Linked DNA regions of Nothobranchius furzeri. Each later gene encodes a partner of the first gene's protein in a complex. Links are inferred from orthologs where the notes say so. Each region holds a gene or a part of one and is shown on either strand. Other genes may lie near its edges.

Region 1 (4,445 bases):
CTGTTTTCCTACACTGAAAGCCAAAACATGTTTTTAGAGAGTAACTTTCACAGCGATTACAGCAGACGGCAGACTGAAAATACGTTTTTGTTTTGAATTCAGTAGAATATGACAAACAGCAGCTCGTGCCATTCTACTCACAGTTGCTGTAATCTTAAGCCGATAAAAGGTACTCAGCGAGGTGTAATTGAGACGTCCCTTTAGCTTCACTTCACCATTAAACTGGCCAATCTCAAACAGATCCGATCCCTGAGTTGGTGTTACCTGGAAAAACACAACCATGAAACTTTGCACAATATCAGAACATAATAATGGTTCTAAATGAAATTGCTCACAGTGGAGTTTACCTCTGTGATGCGGTATGTGATGGGATTTCCATCGAGATCAGTGGCAGAGACTTTAAACAGATTGCTACCAATGGGTGCATTCTGAAATAAAAATGAAACAAATGCTAAAAATATTTAAAAAAAACACCCAGATAACGCAAATCCATTTCACTGAGCTTTAAAAATGGGCTACATGGTTAGAATATGTTAACAAAAAAGCTCAACTGCATCACTAATAAGAAACTTTTTTATATGATTTACTCACTTCTGGGACTGATATGTCATAGTTAGACTGGCTAAACAAAGGTATGTTGTCATTGGTGTCGTCTAGTATTATAATTAATGTTGCGGAAACCTGAAAGACATGTTTAAAATAAATGTGATTAATACTATAAAGAATAACTGGTAGTAACGGGAGGGGAACTTACGGGAGTGGTGCCATCAGAGACGGTAGCGTCCAGTGTGAGGGTAAAACTAGCCTAGAAGAGATGAAGTCATGCAACTTGTGAATATTCAACCAAAAATATGCTGTTTTATTCCCCCCTGTAAAGATTTCCTCATGACTAACACATCATACCTCTGTATCAAGAGGAGTTTTTACTGTGACTCTTCCAGTGTTTACTTCAACCTCAAAAAATGCAGCACTGACCCCGGAGATCGAGTAGGTCAGTGGGTCATTTTCTGGGTCTGTGGCATTTATAACAAATGCAAGTTCCCCTATACAAACAAAACCAATTTAACGTCTAGAAAAGGGGATTCACAATTGGTAGCACATGAAAGTTGACATTTTCAGTAGTCAGTTAGATGTATGTACCAACTGGGGTGTCTTCACACACGTGATGAACTTGACTGTTGAACGTGGGACTAAAATTGGCTGTAAAACAGAGAATATTAACATTAGATGGTGATGCAAAAAAATTTTTCACAAAAACTAAAATAAATGAAATGGTCACCTTTGACCGAGCTGACAAGGAGCAGTAGTATCCATCCTGTGAGCGCCATGTCTGAAACAACAGCCGCTAGAACGTTTAAAATTAAACGAGTCGGTAAAGAAAGGATACGGAGTGTAGCTTCATCTTGACTTTATGATGCCAAAGATGAAAAGCGGGCGTGTACAACCTCACACATCTGGAACAACAGACGTGTTGGGAACGACCCTCAGCTCCTAACACATCACATTTTAGCTCTAATTAGTTTACCAAATGGAGTTGAAGCCATCTTCTGTTTGCAGATGTTGCTTAAATGTGGACCATTAATGAGTTTAACTCCAGAAGTTAATCAGATGTAGCTGAACATCCAATTATGATTCTAACACACACTCCTGCTATCCAACAACAAAATGGCCGCGCTACATTTTCCTTTGACTTACGGAACTCTGGCACATTTAAGCACTTTGAAACCGAGAAACAGAAGAAAGAACGAATCCCAGCTTCTAAATCTGCAAACAAGCCAAGGAACATGCTTTTCTTTTCCTTAATGGAGTAAAGACTGACTACAGTTACAGTATAAATATATACCGTGTTACTGATATCTGTGTATTGTTCATACTATCTGGCACAGCAGGCTAATAAGTTTATTATAGGGTTTGAATAGAAATCAGCACAACTCCTGTCTCCCACAAACACAATCTTCTATTACTGTAAGCACATACAGATAAAGAAATCTTGAGGGCCAAAGAGCAACCTCCGGGTTCCAAAACCGATGAGTGATGTCACTCCGACCATAACCTTCACTTCATGCCCATTGCTTGTAACAACCAAGATCACCTGCCCTGATTACGAAAGTTAAAACTGGATAACAAATTGAATGTCTGACCACACCGAAACAATCGACAGGTGAAAAGTGGGTCATTTCCTTTTAGCTTAGATGTACAGAGAAGAGATGATTTACCTGAGAATGAGTTTGGTTATAGGTGATTGGCAGAAAAAGCTGTATAAGTAACAGGATTTAAAATAATTTCTTCTGATGAATATTTGCCTTACAGAAGTCCCCTCCACCACACACACACACACACACACACACACACACAGGAATGAAATGAGAGGAATTTGACTTTCTCATTTGAGCTTTAAGAGCTAAATGTTGGTATTTTTAGTAGTTACGTTAATAAAACTGAATCATTAATGGAGTTGTGTTTTCTACATAGCTACTGTTGTCACTTTAATATACAAATAACATTTACTTTTCTAAAATCAGTTGTTGTTTAAATATGAGCTTTGTTCTGTAAATGTCTGAATCTTTTAAGAATTAGTGGCGGAATCAGAAATCCCTCGTTTCCTTAAAAACATTTAAAACGACAAATAGGAGCTTTGATCATGACAGCTGGTCGCTGAGGTGTTGGTAATTCAGAAAAACACAAAACAGCTGGAAGTGCCTTGCTCATTTGTTCAAGTCTGATTTAAACAGCAAATCTCAGTATCCACAAGACTGAGCATGTTAACGCAGTAACACCATTTTAAGTGGTTTGACACAGAGAAGGTAGCCTTACCTGGTGACCATCACAGACGGCTTCCTTATTCTGATTAGTGGGTAAGACCTTTGGCTCTTGTATCTCTGTGTCGTTATCACGTCAGCGTTGTAAACATAAATCATTAACAAACAACCAGCACCACCACTCTGAACGTCTCCCTGAAAAATAAACTCCCATCAAATAGAAAAAGTTCTAATTGTCTCTCTCAGCTGATTCTCGGTGAAGGACCCCAGTCCTGTGGCTTTGTGCCATTCTTGGTCTGAACCACAACCACAGAAGGCAGCTCGCTTCCCCTGAGTAAATTTGATGGAACCAGGGACCGTTAAAAACATTTCCAACCAATCGGTGGATTGGAGTCTTGTTTAGAAACCACAGATCCATCCCATAATGAGCCAGAGTTTCAGCATTGTCTCCTCTAATTAATGAGCCTCACACAAAGGATTGTGCTCTGGTATTCACCCTTAATCAGACATTCGCCTCCAAACGAAGTCAGACAGATCCTCTCAGCAGGAAAAGGGGGAATATTCAAAGTAGGAAAATACAGTTGGAAAAAGCTAAAGAAAGAGATCAGATGAAAAAAATAATCATTCAGGAAATTTTCAGAACAAACATTTAGACTGGGGGAATGAAAATTAGTTAGAGCACGTGGAAAACAAACAGAAGTGTGACTGAAATCCTTGTACAGGACAGTGTTCCCCTAAGCAAACTGTTTTGTTAATATGTTAGCAAGTATAAATACCATAAACTAACAATGTAGATGTACTGACTGTCTAACACGCTCTACAAATTGTTCACGTAAGGCTATGCAGAACGAACGTGGCACCTTTGCCTCCGGTTTGGATTTGGTATCAGATGAGAAACGTTTGTGCGGAGAACAACAAACTGAGTTGTTTGGAGAGAAACTTTTAAGAAATATATCATAAATAAATAAAATGTGTCAATCCAGAAAGTGATGACAGCCTTTCTGCTGCCTGGTTTTTCCAACAGGACTTTGGTTTATTGCTTACAATTTTGAACACAACGCCGCCTCTCTGAGCCAGCAGTAAGAGTATAAAAGGGTGGGAACATTATAAAATCCTTCTCAGACAGTCCCAGTAAATAGAAACATCATAATAAAAAAAGTCAATCTAATGTGATAAGCCAAATATTATCAGGGTCAACCATGGTGATGGAGCTCCACGCAGAAAAGATCATCAGTCGTAAAATGAAAAGGCAAAAAGAGTAAATCACAAGTGGTTATGAGATGAGGATGACAACTAACTTATTAAAAACCATGAAAAATAACAGGTAACATGACAAAGTAAGTTTAAGTACTAACACTACAGTCACATCCTTAGTTTTCTGTCTATGACAGGTACAGGTGTGTGTACGATTATCAGTTTTATTGCTTTGGACCTTTGCTTTCAGCCAGCTTGTTTCTCATCCTTCCAGTCCGCTGTCCCTGACTCCCTCAAGCAGATTACACAAAGCAACAACAACTTCCTTCTGTTTCTGTTTAAGGTTATAAATAATTGTTACCTTACCAGCTGTAGATAACTTCTTGAACAGCCTCAGTTTGGAGAAGATAAGTTTACACCCAGTGATGTATTAGCAGGGCTGTATGGTGGCCCTCTGATGGGCCGGTGACCTGTCGGGGTTAGGGTTAGTGA
Region 2 (4,100 bases), on another chromosome or scaffold:
CTGGGATGTTGGTTCACTGCTGACACGTTTCAGCACCCTGTTCCAGTAGATGTAAACATAAAGCCAGTGTCATGCCCAACAAAATAAAAATTTGATTATGCATTTTTTAAATATAGCTTTTAAAGGAGAAACTGTACATTCATCCTGCACCTCTAAACGCCCTGTGGGGGTATTATTTAAAAAATAAGAAAAGTGTTCCATATTTTAACTTTAAAGTTTAGCTCAACAACGTGTCTTTTGCAGCTCAAAACAGATGCAGAGGAGAAAGGAATGAAAACGAAGTAGGCCTTATTATAGATGTCGAGAAAACCTTGCAAAAACGATAAAACAAAGATTATTATTGTTGTCAGTTAGTAAAATTAATTTTTGTATGAACAAAATAACTTTCATCATGTTTTTTCCAACTCTGATATATATTAATAATGTTTTCTTCTTTGTAGTTAACATTATCTGTGCAAAAATGTGTATTTGAATAAAAACAAAAAAGTGTTTATATGCAAAGGAAATGATAAATATTGTATTTGAGCTCACAACAGATAGACTTTTACAGCACCATCAGTGGTTAAGTCAGATCGATACTGTTCAAGGTTTAAAATATATATTTTTTTTCAATGAAGGTTGGATAGATTGATTGAAAACAATAATATTTTAAACCATGAACAATATGGATTTAGGACAAAACATCTAACTTCAATGGCAATAATGGCATTAACAGAAAGCCATCAGTAACACTCGCTATAGAGAGCCATGTAACCCTTTATTTATGTTTATGTTTATTTATTTGGCAGACGTACAAAGTGACGTACAATGTTTCAACCTATAGGGCATGTTGTGATCTGTGGGGGAAGCTCACGCATGCATGGGGAGAGCATGCAACTCCACGCAGAAAGTCTACAACCGAGTTTCGAACCCTTAGTTATTATAACTTTTTTTGCTGATAAACTGAAAAAAATGAGTGTCTAATCATGCTGTAGACATGTGTAGTCAATAATTAGGCACTTTAGTGCATCTTAATTCAAATTTAAAAATTCTGCCAAACTGTCAGTATTGCGCCATCTTCAGGTAAAAACTCAGCACTGCATGTGTATTTTAATCTGCTGTCGTTATTGGCTTAGAGGTACCCTATGACATCAGCTGGTACCATGTGATGTTACAATGCCATTGTGAGCCTGTGTGTGTGTGTGTGTGTGTGTTTGTTAGCGGCTTCGCCCTCAGGCAACGGCATTTGTTGCATTTTCAAACAGGAAGTGGGAGTGGAGTAAGACTCTGGTAGGGGGTGACTTGCTCTTTAATGTATTTTAAAAAGGTGTCAAATTAAATGTATTAAGAAATTATATAAATATGAATTAAGATGGTGTCTGCAAAGTGAGTGTGCAAGTTGAATTTGTTGAGGGGGATGAATTTTATGTTGCTTTAGTAAAAAAAAATAAGATTTTTTTCTTCTCTCTGTTCCTTTTCATTCTTTGTTTTTTTCTGTGTGTGTTGTTGTAAATATTCCATGTTTTTGTTCTTATTTTCGTCTTGTTCTTTGAAATAAATAAATAAATAAATAATAAAAAAAAGTAGACACACGTTGGTTAAACACGTCTCCATGTATTTAATCTGAGTGTTTATCATTAAGAGCGCTGGCAACATGCTTGTGCTTTGCTGATCAAACTATTTTATTTATAAATGAATGGGAAATATAGTTATTTATTTATTCATTTATTATTATTCTTTACTTTTCGATAACCTTCAAAAAGCAGTCTCTTCACAAATCTCCCTTTGTGTTGTGTAATATAAAAGTAAAATAAAAACCACAATATTATTGTGTTATAACATAATAAGTGTGTTAAAATCAGTGGTTTACAGAATGAGCTGTTGCTATTGAGCTGTTAAACTGGAAGGCCTTTAATGGTTTTCCTTCCTGTTGGAGCCATAAAAGCTTTAATCGCTACAGGAGTTTATTATGAAGCCCAGATCTGACTGGTTCTGATAAAAAGACTTAACTTCTGATTTAGGTCATGTATCAAACATATTCTCTGGGTCTCAGGCTAGATTTTAACCAGTCCTTTGTTGCTGTTAATGGAGCCAAGGTGGGGGTACTGGGGGATAGATGGCTGAATGAAAGGCTCTTTTGTTTTACAGAACAAATAAAAAATTTTGGCTCTGCTCAAAGGAGAATGTGGAAGAAAGATGGAAAACATCAACCGGTGTAAATAAAGTCCCATAAAAATCAATTGAATGAAAAAGAAGCCATAAAACACCTTCTACGGTAACGCTGACCTTTGCTCCTTTGCTGTTATTTATGACTTATTGTTAATCTTAATTTAATTCTCTAGGGAGGAATAATTCATTTGTGAATAGCAGTGATCATAATAACAGACAGAGTTCTGATCCACAAACAGCCTGATTTCAGACTAATCCTGGTTGGATAATAGAAAGTAACTTACTCTCTGCTGCATATGAGCTGAAGAGCGTTGACGTGTCCATGAAAAGCAGCCAGTAGGGTGGGAGTCATCCCATCATCATCTGCGGTGTTCAGGTGCTTCCTTGTTGCCTCCTTCAAGAGGTCCAAGTTACCATCGATCGCTGCCTTGTGGTACCTCGACATCTTTCAAATGAATGTGTTGCTGCCTCCTCTGACCACAGAATTGGAACAGCGATGGCTGACCCGAGCAAACAAAGTGATCACTGGGCGTGTGAGCAGCTGAGCTATAAAACAAAGTCCAGCTTGATGTCGTCAGTTCCTGCTTTAACTATCATCCCTGAAAGCACAAGTATCACAACAGACATGTGACCAGTTAAAGAGGATACCAGTTTAAAAGTTTCCTACATAAGGAACCCAGCAAATTGCATCGAGTCACTAACTAGTGTCAGTGACTTTACAGCAATCCTCATACTAAGCAAGCATTTAGCGACAGTGGAGAGGAAAACTCCCTTTTAACAGGAAGAAACCTCCAGAGGATCCTGGCTCAGAATAAGCAGCCATCCACCACGACTCACTGGGGCTGGAGAAGACAGAGCACACACACACACACACACACACACACACACACACACACACACACACACACACACACACACACACACACACACACACACACACACACACACACACACACACACACACACACACACACACACACACACACACACACACACACACACACACACACACACACACACACACACACACACACCACACAACATATATACCAAGTAGTGTTTCTATGGTTACATTGTGATTTCTTAGTAAATATTCTATTTGGTGAGAGATAAACTTTATTGTATTTATCCTAGTGAATCTATAATTAAATGGGTAAACTAGTAGTAGCACATTCAATGTCAAAGAAAGTTAAATTGTATTATCAGGAGAGGGAGAATGTTTAAGTGGTTAGCAACAGTGTTCAAGCCAATGGCCCCCTCCATGAGGCCACCACAGCTCAGCAGAACATCATTCTAGCTTCTTCTGGGGAGAAAAACACTTAGAGAAAAAACATAAACAGCTGAAATAGCAGAAAGTAATACAGTTAAAGAGCAAATTGTAGAAGAAAGTTGTAGAGTGTAGAAAGTGGTCAGTGTGTCCTCCAGCAGTCTAAGCCTATAGCAGCATAACTACAGAGATAACTCTGGATAACCTAGCCTTTTAGGTGGAAGCATGTTGGAGGCAGGGCAAGGGAGAGTCGTTTTTACCGACTGTACACTCCACCTCCCTCTACTCCCTCACTTGTCCAGATTTGGGCTAACATCAGATTTTAACCATAGACCCTATCAAATAATTTAAGTCCAGTCTTAAAAGTAGACAAGGTGTCTGCCTCATGGACTAAAGCTGGGAGCTGGTTCCACAGGAGAGGAGCCTGATAGCTAAAAGAACTTTCTCCCATCCTATTTTTAGATATTCTGGGAACCACCAGCAAACTTGCAGTCTGAGAGTGAAGTGTTCGGTTAGGAACATATGGAATAATCAGGTCACTTATGGAAGATGGAGCTTGATTATTAAGAGCTTTATGTGTGAGAAGGAGGATCTTAAAATCTATTCTGAATTTAACAGGCAGCCAATGTAGGAAAGCTGTAATGGATCTACGTAGTTAATTATGACCAATAAGATGTGATGATTC
Region 3 (4,439 bases), on another chromosome or scaffold:
CCACTTCACTCCCGTATCAAACCAGGTACTGAATAGTTTTGCGAAAAGACCAAACCATGCTGCTCGAAAAGGCTGTCCACCCAAACCACACCCATCCGTGTCACACTGAGTAGTGCTACGAGAAGCTCCCATAAGTCGATTTGACACAATTCATGTGAAACGACTCAGCACATTAAGAAGAAATAGCAAGCCCACATCTGGTTTTTAAACATCATCACAGAAGAATGTATTTGATCTTCCATTATTTCATTTATCAATTAACTGAACATGAAAAGACAATGCAGTTCATCAGTGATTTTTCCATATTATACATATTTTTATTACTCTGCTGACATTGAAGGGTTGAAATGCGGTTTAGACAGTCACTCTTTTCAGAAAAACAAACCAACAGAATCAAAAAAGTGTTAGCGTTCATCTCATAATTATTAGGAATTATTATTAAACACCGTAAGCATCTGAACATAAAATATTGTACTGATCCATAAGGAGCTATTGTGAGAGCTGCTGTAGCCTAAAGCTACTGTTCCTTTAGGAAGTGAATGCTGGAGATGTGAGCGTATCTCAGAAGTTTATTGGACTTCTATGAACTACAGTTAACGGCACAACGTCATTCCTTCTGGAGTTTTTTTAATTCTGCACATGTTACAGTAATAAGTGATTATCTTAAATTAGCTCACACAAAGCTTCAGGTGCTCAGGTCAATAAGAACGCTCTTAAAAATACGTGGCTGCACAAACCAGAGACAGTGTCACGGAGAAGTTGATTTTACGTTGGCAAGTTGAGACAGGAAGCACGTATCTCAGTTAAAGGGGCATTATGGAAGTTTGACAGCCAAAACATGTATAGAAATATTATTTTTCTTCTTCATACATTCTCCTGCAATGCCCTGGTCCTGTAGAATGAGCCCTGGCATTTTTACTGTGATTGCCTGTTTTTCTGTAAAATCACAGAAAAAGAGAGATGCTCGGGTCGAGCAGGCTGCTTCATGCGTGTTCACGCTCAGGCATCGCCCGTAGCATTTGCTATTAGTAGCTTTAGCAGCAGAGAGAGAGGTAGTGCCAACTCAGCGACTTTGTCGCTGTTCCTAACGCCTAGTGACAAACCTAGCTACATTTCTGAGGACCCTTAGCTACTTTCTGTAGAACTTTCTTCTAGATATTTCCTGCAAATTAGTAACAAAATAGTCATTTTCGCTCCGAACCGTTCTTTGGTTTGACATTGTTTCAGCTGTCATCAAGAATTTAAATGTTACAGATACGTTTCATTTTGGAACAATTTTTCAAGCAAGGGAAGGGAATGATCTGAGCATGCAGGAGGACTGACCCATCTTAAACCTTTGTTGGCTGTGCTGAAGAGAAAGGTACAGAACCAAAGTATTTAATTAATTAGCTGTGCGTTCTCCTGTCCTCTGTCCTCTGGGCCACACACACACACACACACACACACTCACACACACACACACACACACACACACACACACACACACACACACACACACACACACACGGTACTGTCTCAGCTGTTATTTTCTTTAAGGAGTGTGCACGTACAGCATGCACACCTCGTGCACGAGCCTACAATAGAAGCTGCCGTTACGTTTTTGGCCTGAGGGGGCAATCGTGAGCATAAAAATTTAAAAGTCCGAAAAGTCCCTTTAAAATAGCCCCAACATGCTACCACTTTCAATGCGCAGTGGGCAGCACCTGGTTTTCGCTGAAAGAGATAAGGACAGCAGGTAAACTATGATGTAATCAATGTAACCATGGTTTTTACCGACGAGAGACACCCATGGAAATATACAATGTGATGCAGCCATCAGTTGTAACCGATGTACCCGAAGCTACCAGTGCAGTCACGTCGCTAATGTTATGAACGAACCACCGGGTCAGATCGGTGAATCTCTCCATCTCTAGATCACACCACTACTTTTAAATTTGGCTTCTCAGTGCACTGGCTCTTTCCTCTAATGCATGGTGCATTCTGGTAGTTTCATTAGCCACATATCAGTCAACTTCTCCAAAAACACTGAATAAATATGCCTGTCTGCAGATAAAAAAATGTCCTGAATGCTGAAGCAACCAGTAGCCAAGCAGTGACCGACTATCACAGATGTCGCGTCTTCGTCCCAGCTCGGTGCACTTGGAATAATTTTCAGTAGTGACCATGGACTGGATACTAATGGAAACGCAGTCCAAACAAACCGAATCAACGTGAGTCGTGCTGAGTATCGACTAATTGAATCACAGCTTTAGATTCAGAGCCGTGTAGCTGCCCTGTTCTGTGTACACTTGTATAAAGGATGGTGGATAGAACACAGAGACTTTTAGAGATGACTTGGTTTGGTTGAGATAAATGTTGTCAGATCTGAAAGTAAGTAAATGTGATGATTCCTGAACTCGCCATCCATTGTGCTGCCTTCATGACTCACCACTTCCTGTTTCAGTCTTTACCTTCTTCTTGTCGTTTTATTTATCCGTCTCAACAAACACAAGGAACCACTTTATTTGTTAGGAGACACCATCAGCCTGATAAAACAGTGAAACAAAGCAATACTCACTGTTCGCTGTCACGGTGGAGGTTTGGAGGAAAAACAGGAAGAAGCTGAAGAGTTGTGGATGAATTGCGTCCATGTCTCCGTCCTCTCTGTGTGAACTGGCCTTCATGTCTCTGTTCTCTGCTTATCTGCTTGCTGTTACGGCTGTGGTGGACTTTCACCCATCATAAAAAGGTGCACTTCTGATTGCCGAGAAACCATATGAGATCTTTTTCTGGGACTGACTGCCTTTAATTTGTGTCTTTTGACTTGAGCCATCTCACCCCAGCATGCTTACACATTTGTGATGATTAACACAGCTGATGATGTCGTAAATTGATCAGTTCTTAAATTTTTTACACAGGTATGTCCTTTGCTTTACACTCTCGTTATCGATAGGTCTTCTTTCCTGATTTGAGTTTATGGTTGACAACAGAGTGAAAACACAAACTAATAAACCAGGAGACAGCCTTCAGAGCCTGAAAGAGACACCAACGAGGAAGTGACAGCATCATTTTTATGTGTGTCATATAATCATAATGCTGAGTTTTTCTACCTGTGGAATTTGTTTGCTTAATTCAATTCAATTCAATTTTATTTCTATAGCGCCTAATCACGACAAGAGTCATCTCAAGGCACTTCACATAATAAACATTCCAATTCAGGTCAGTTCATTAAGCTAATCAGAAAACAATGTTTCCTATATAAGGAACCCAGCAAATTGCATCAAGTCACTGACTAGTGTCAGTGACTTTACATCAATCCTCATACTAAGCAAGCATATAGCGACAGTGGAGAGGAAAACTCCCTTTTAACAGGAAGAAACCTCCAGAGAATCCTGGCTCAGTATAAGCAGCCATCCTCCACGACTCACTGGGGATGGAGAAGATAGAGCAGACACACACACACACACACACACACACACACACACACACACACACACACACACACACACACACACACACACACACACCAAGCAATGTGTCCATGGTTACACCGTGATTACTTAGTAAATATTCTATTTGGCGAGAGATAAACGTTATTGTATTTATCCTAGTGAATCTATTGTTAAAAGGGTAAACCAGCAGTAGCACATCCAATGTCAAGGAAACAAAAAGTAATTGTCAGGAGAGGGAAAAAGTTTAAGTGGTTAGCAGCAGTGTGCTAGACGATGGCCCCCTCCATGAGGCCACCACAGCTCAGCAGAACATCATTGTAGCTTCTTCTGGGGAGAAAAATACTTAGAGAAAAAATAAAGTTAATAGCTGAAGTAGCAGGAAATAACAGTTAAAGAGCAGATTGTAGAATAAAGTAGTAGAGTGTGAAAAGTGGTCAGTGTATCCTCCAGCAGTCTAAGCCTATAGCAGCATAACTACAGAGATAACTCTGGATAACCTAGCCTTTTTAGATGGAGGCATATTAGAGGCAGGGCAAGGGAGAGCTGTCTTTACCGACTGTACACTCCACCTCCCTGTACTCCCCCACTTTTCCAGATCAGACGCGGCGCCAGGCAGTAGCTTGGTGTTGCTATAGCAACCACAAGATTTGACCAAGCAACTGCTTAGCAACCCTGATTATGTTGTAACAAAGATTGTATAAAGTTTTTACATTAAATAATTTAAAATATATATATTTAATCTAACATAAAAAGTGGTAGTTTTACTTATAGTTTTGGAGAACAAATTTCTTGGAAAAACAAAAAAAGACGTGCCTCACTGGTGCTATCGCGAGACTTCGATTTGACCCCATGCTTTTAGAAGCACTGAGATTTGTCTTGCTAGCGCATAGCTATTACAAAGCAGCCTGATGCAAACATGGACAAATATCTTATTCCACCCAAACGACCGCGATTATCAACGGAGACGGATGATGCAGCTACTTCCACCATTGAAAAGGACCACGCCAC

Evidence for each region.
Region 2: cdhr2 (region 1) and anks4b share a complex: the UniProt entries of both Homo sapiens proteins name them as parts of the IMAC/intermicrovillar adhesion complex. The link is inferred for Nothobranchius furzeri from reciprocal best matches to the Homo sapiens genes CDHR2 and ANKS4B.
Region 3: cdhr2 (region 1) and cdhr5b share a complex: the UniProt entries of both Homo sapiens proteins name them as parts of the IMAC/intermicrovillar adhesion complex. The link is inferred for Nothobranchius furzeri from reciprocal best matches to the Homo sapiens genes CDHR2 and CDHR5.

The regions. Positions count from the first base shown.
Region 1 is NC_091742.1:44,953,009-44,957,453, forward strand, and holds the start of cdhr2 (cadherin-related family member 2), read right to left. Parts: upstream 2,882-4,445; 5' UTR 2,815-2,881; intron 1,464-2,814; exon of another isoform or gene 1,446-1,463; intron 1,346-1,445; exon of another isoform or gene 1,331-1,345; 5' UTR 1,329-1,330; coding exon 1,280-1,328; intron 1,201-1,279; coding exon 1,141-1,200; intron 1,044-1,140; coding exon 904-1,043; intron 806-903; coding exon 755-805; intron 682-754; coding exon 592-681; intron 429-591; coding exon 348-428; intron 265-347; coding exon 142-264; intron 1-141. UniProt on the Homo sapiens protein: Intermicrovillar adhesion molecule that forms, via its extracellular domain, calcium-dependent heterophilic complexes with CDHR5 on adjacent microvilli. Thereby, controls the packing of microvilli at the apical membrane of epithelial cells.
Region 2 is NC_091752.1:56,799,561-56,803,660, reverse strand, and holds the start of anks4b (ankyrin repeat and SAM domain-containing protein 4B), read right to left. Parts: upstream 2,825-4,100; 5' UTR 2,594-2,824; coding exon 2,433-2,593; intron 1-2,432. UniProt on the Homo sapiens protein: As part of the intermicrovillar adhesion complex/IMAC plays a role in epithelial brush border differentiation, controlling microvilli organization and length. Plays a role in assembly of the complex.
Region 3 is NC_091754.1:42,612,043-42,616,481, reverse strand, and holds the start of cdhr5b (cadherin-related family member 5), read right to left. Parts: upstream 2,916-4,439; 5' UTR 2,664-2,915; coding exon 2,558-2,663; intron 1-2,557. UniProt on the Homo sapiens protein: Intermicrovillar adhesion molecule that forms, via its extracellular domain, calcium-dependent heterophilic complexes with CDHR2 on adjacent microvilli. Thereby, controls the packing of microvilli at the apical membrane of epithelial cells.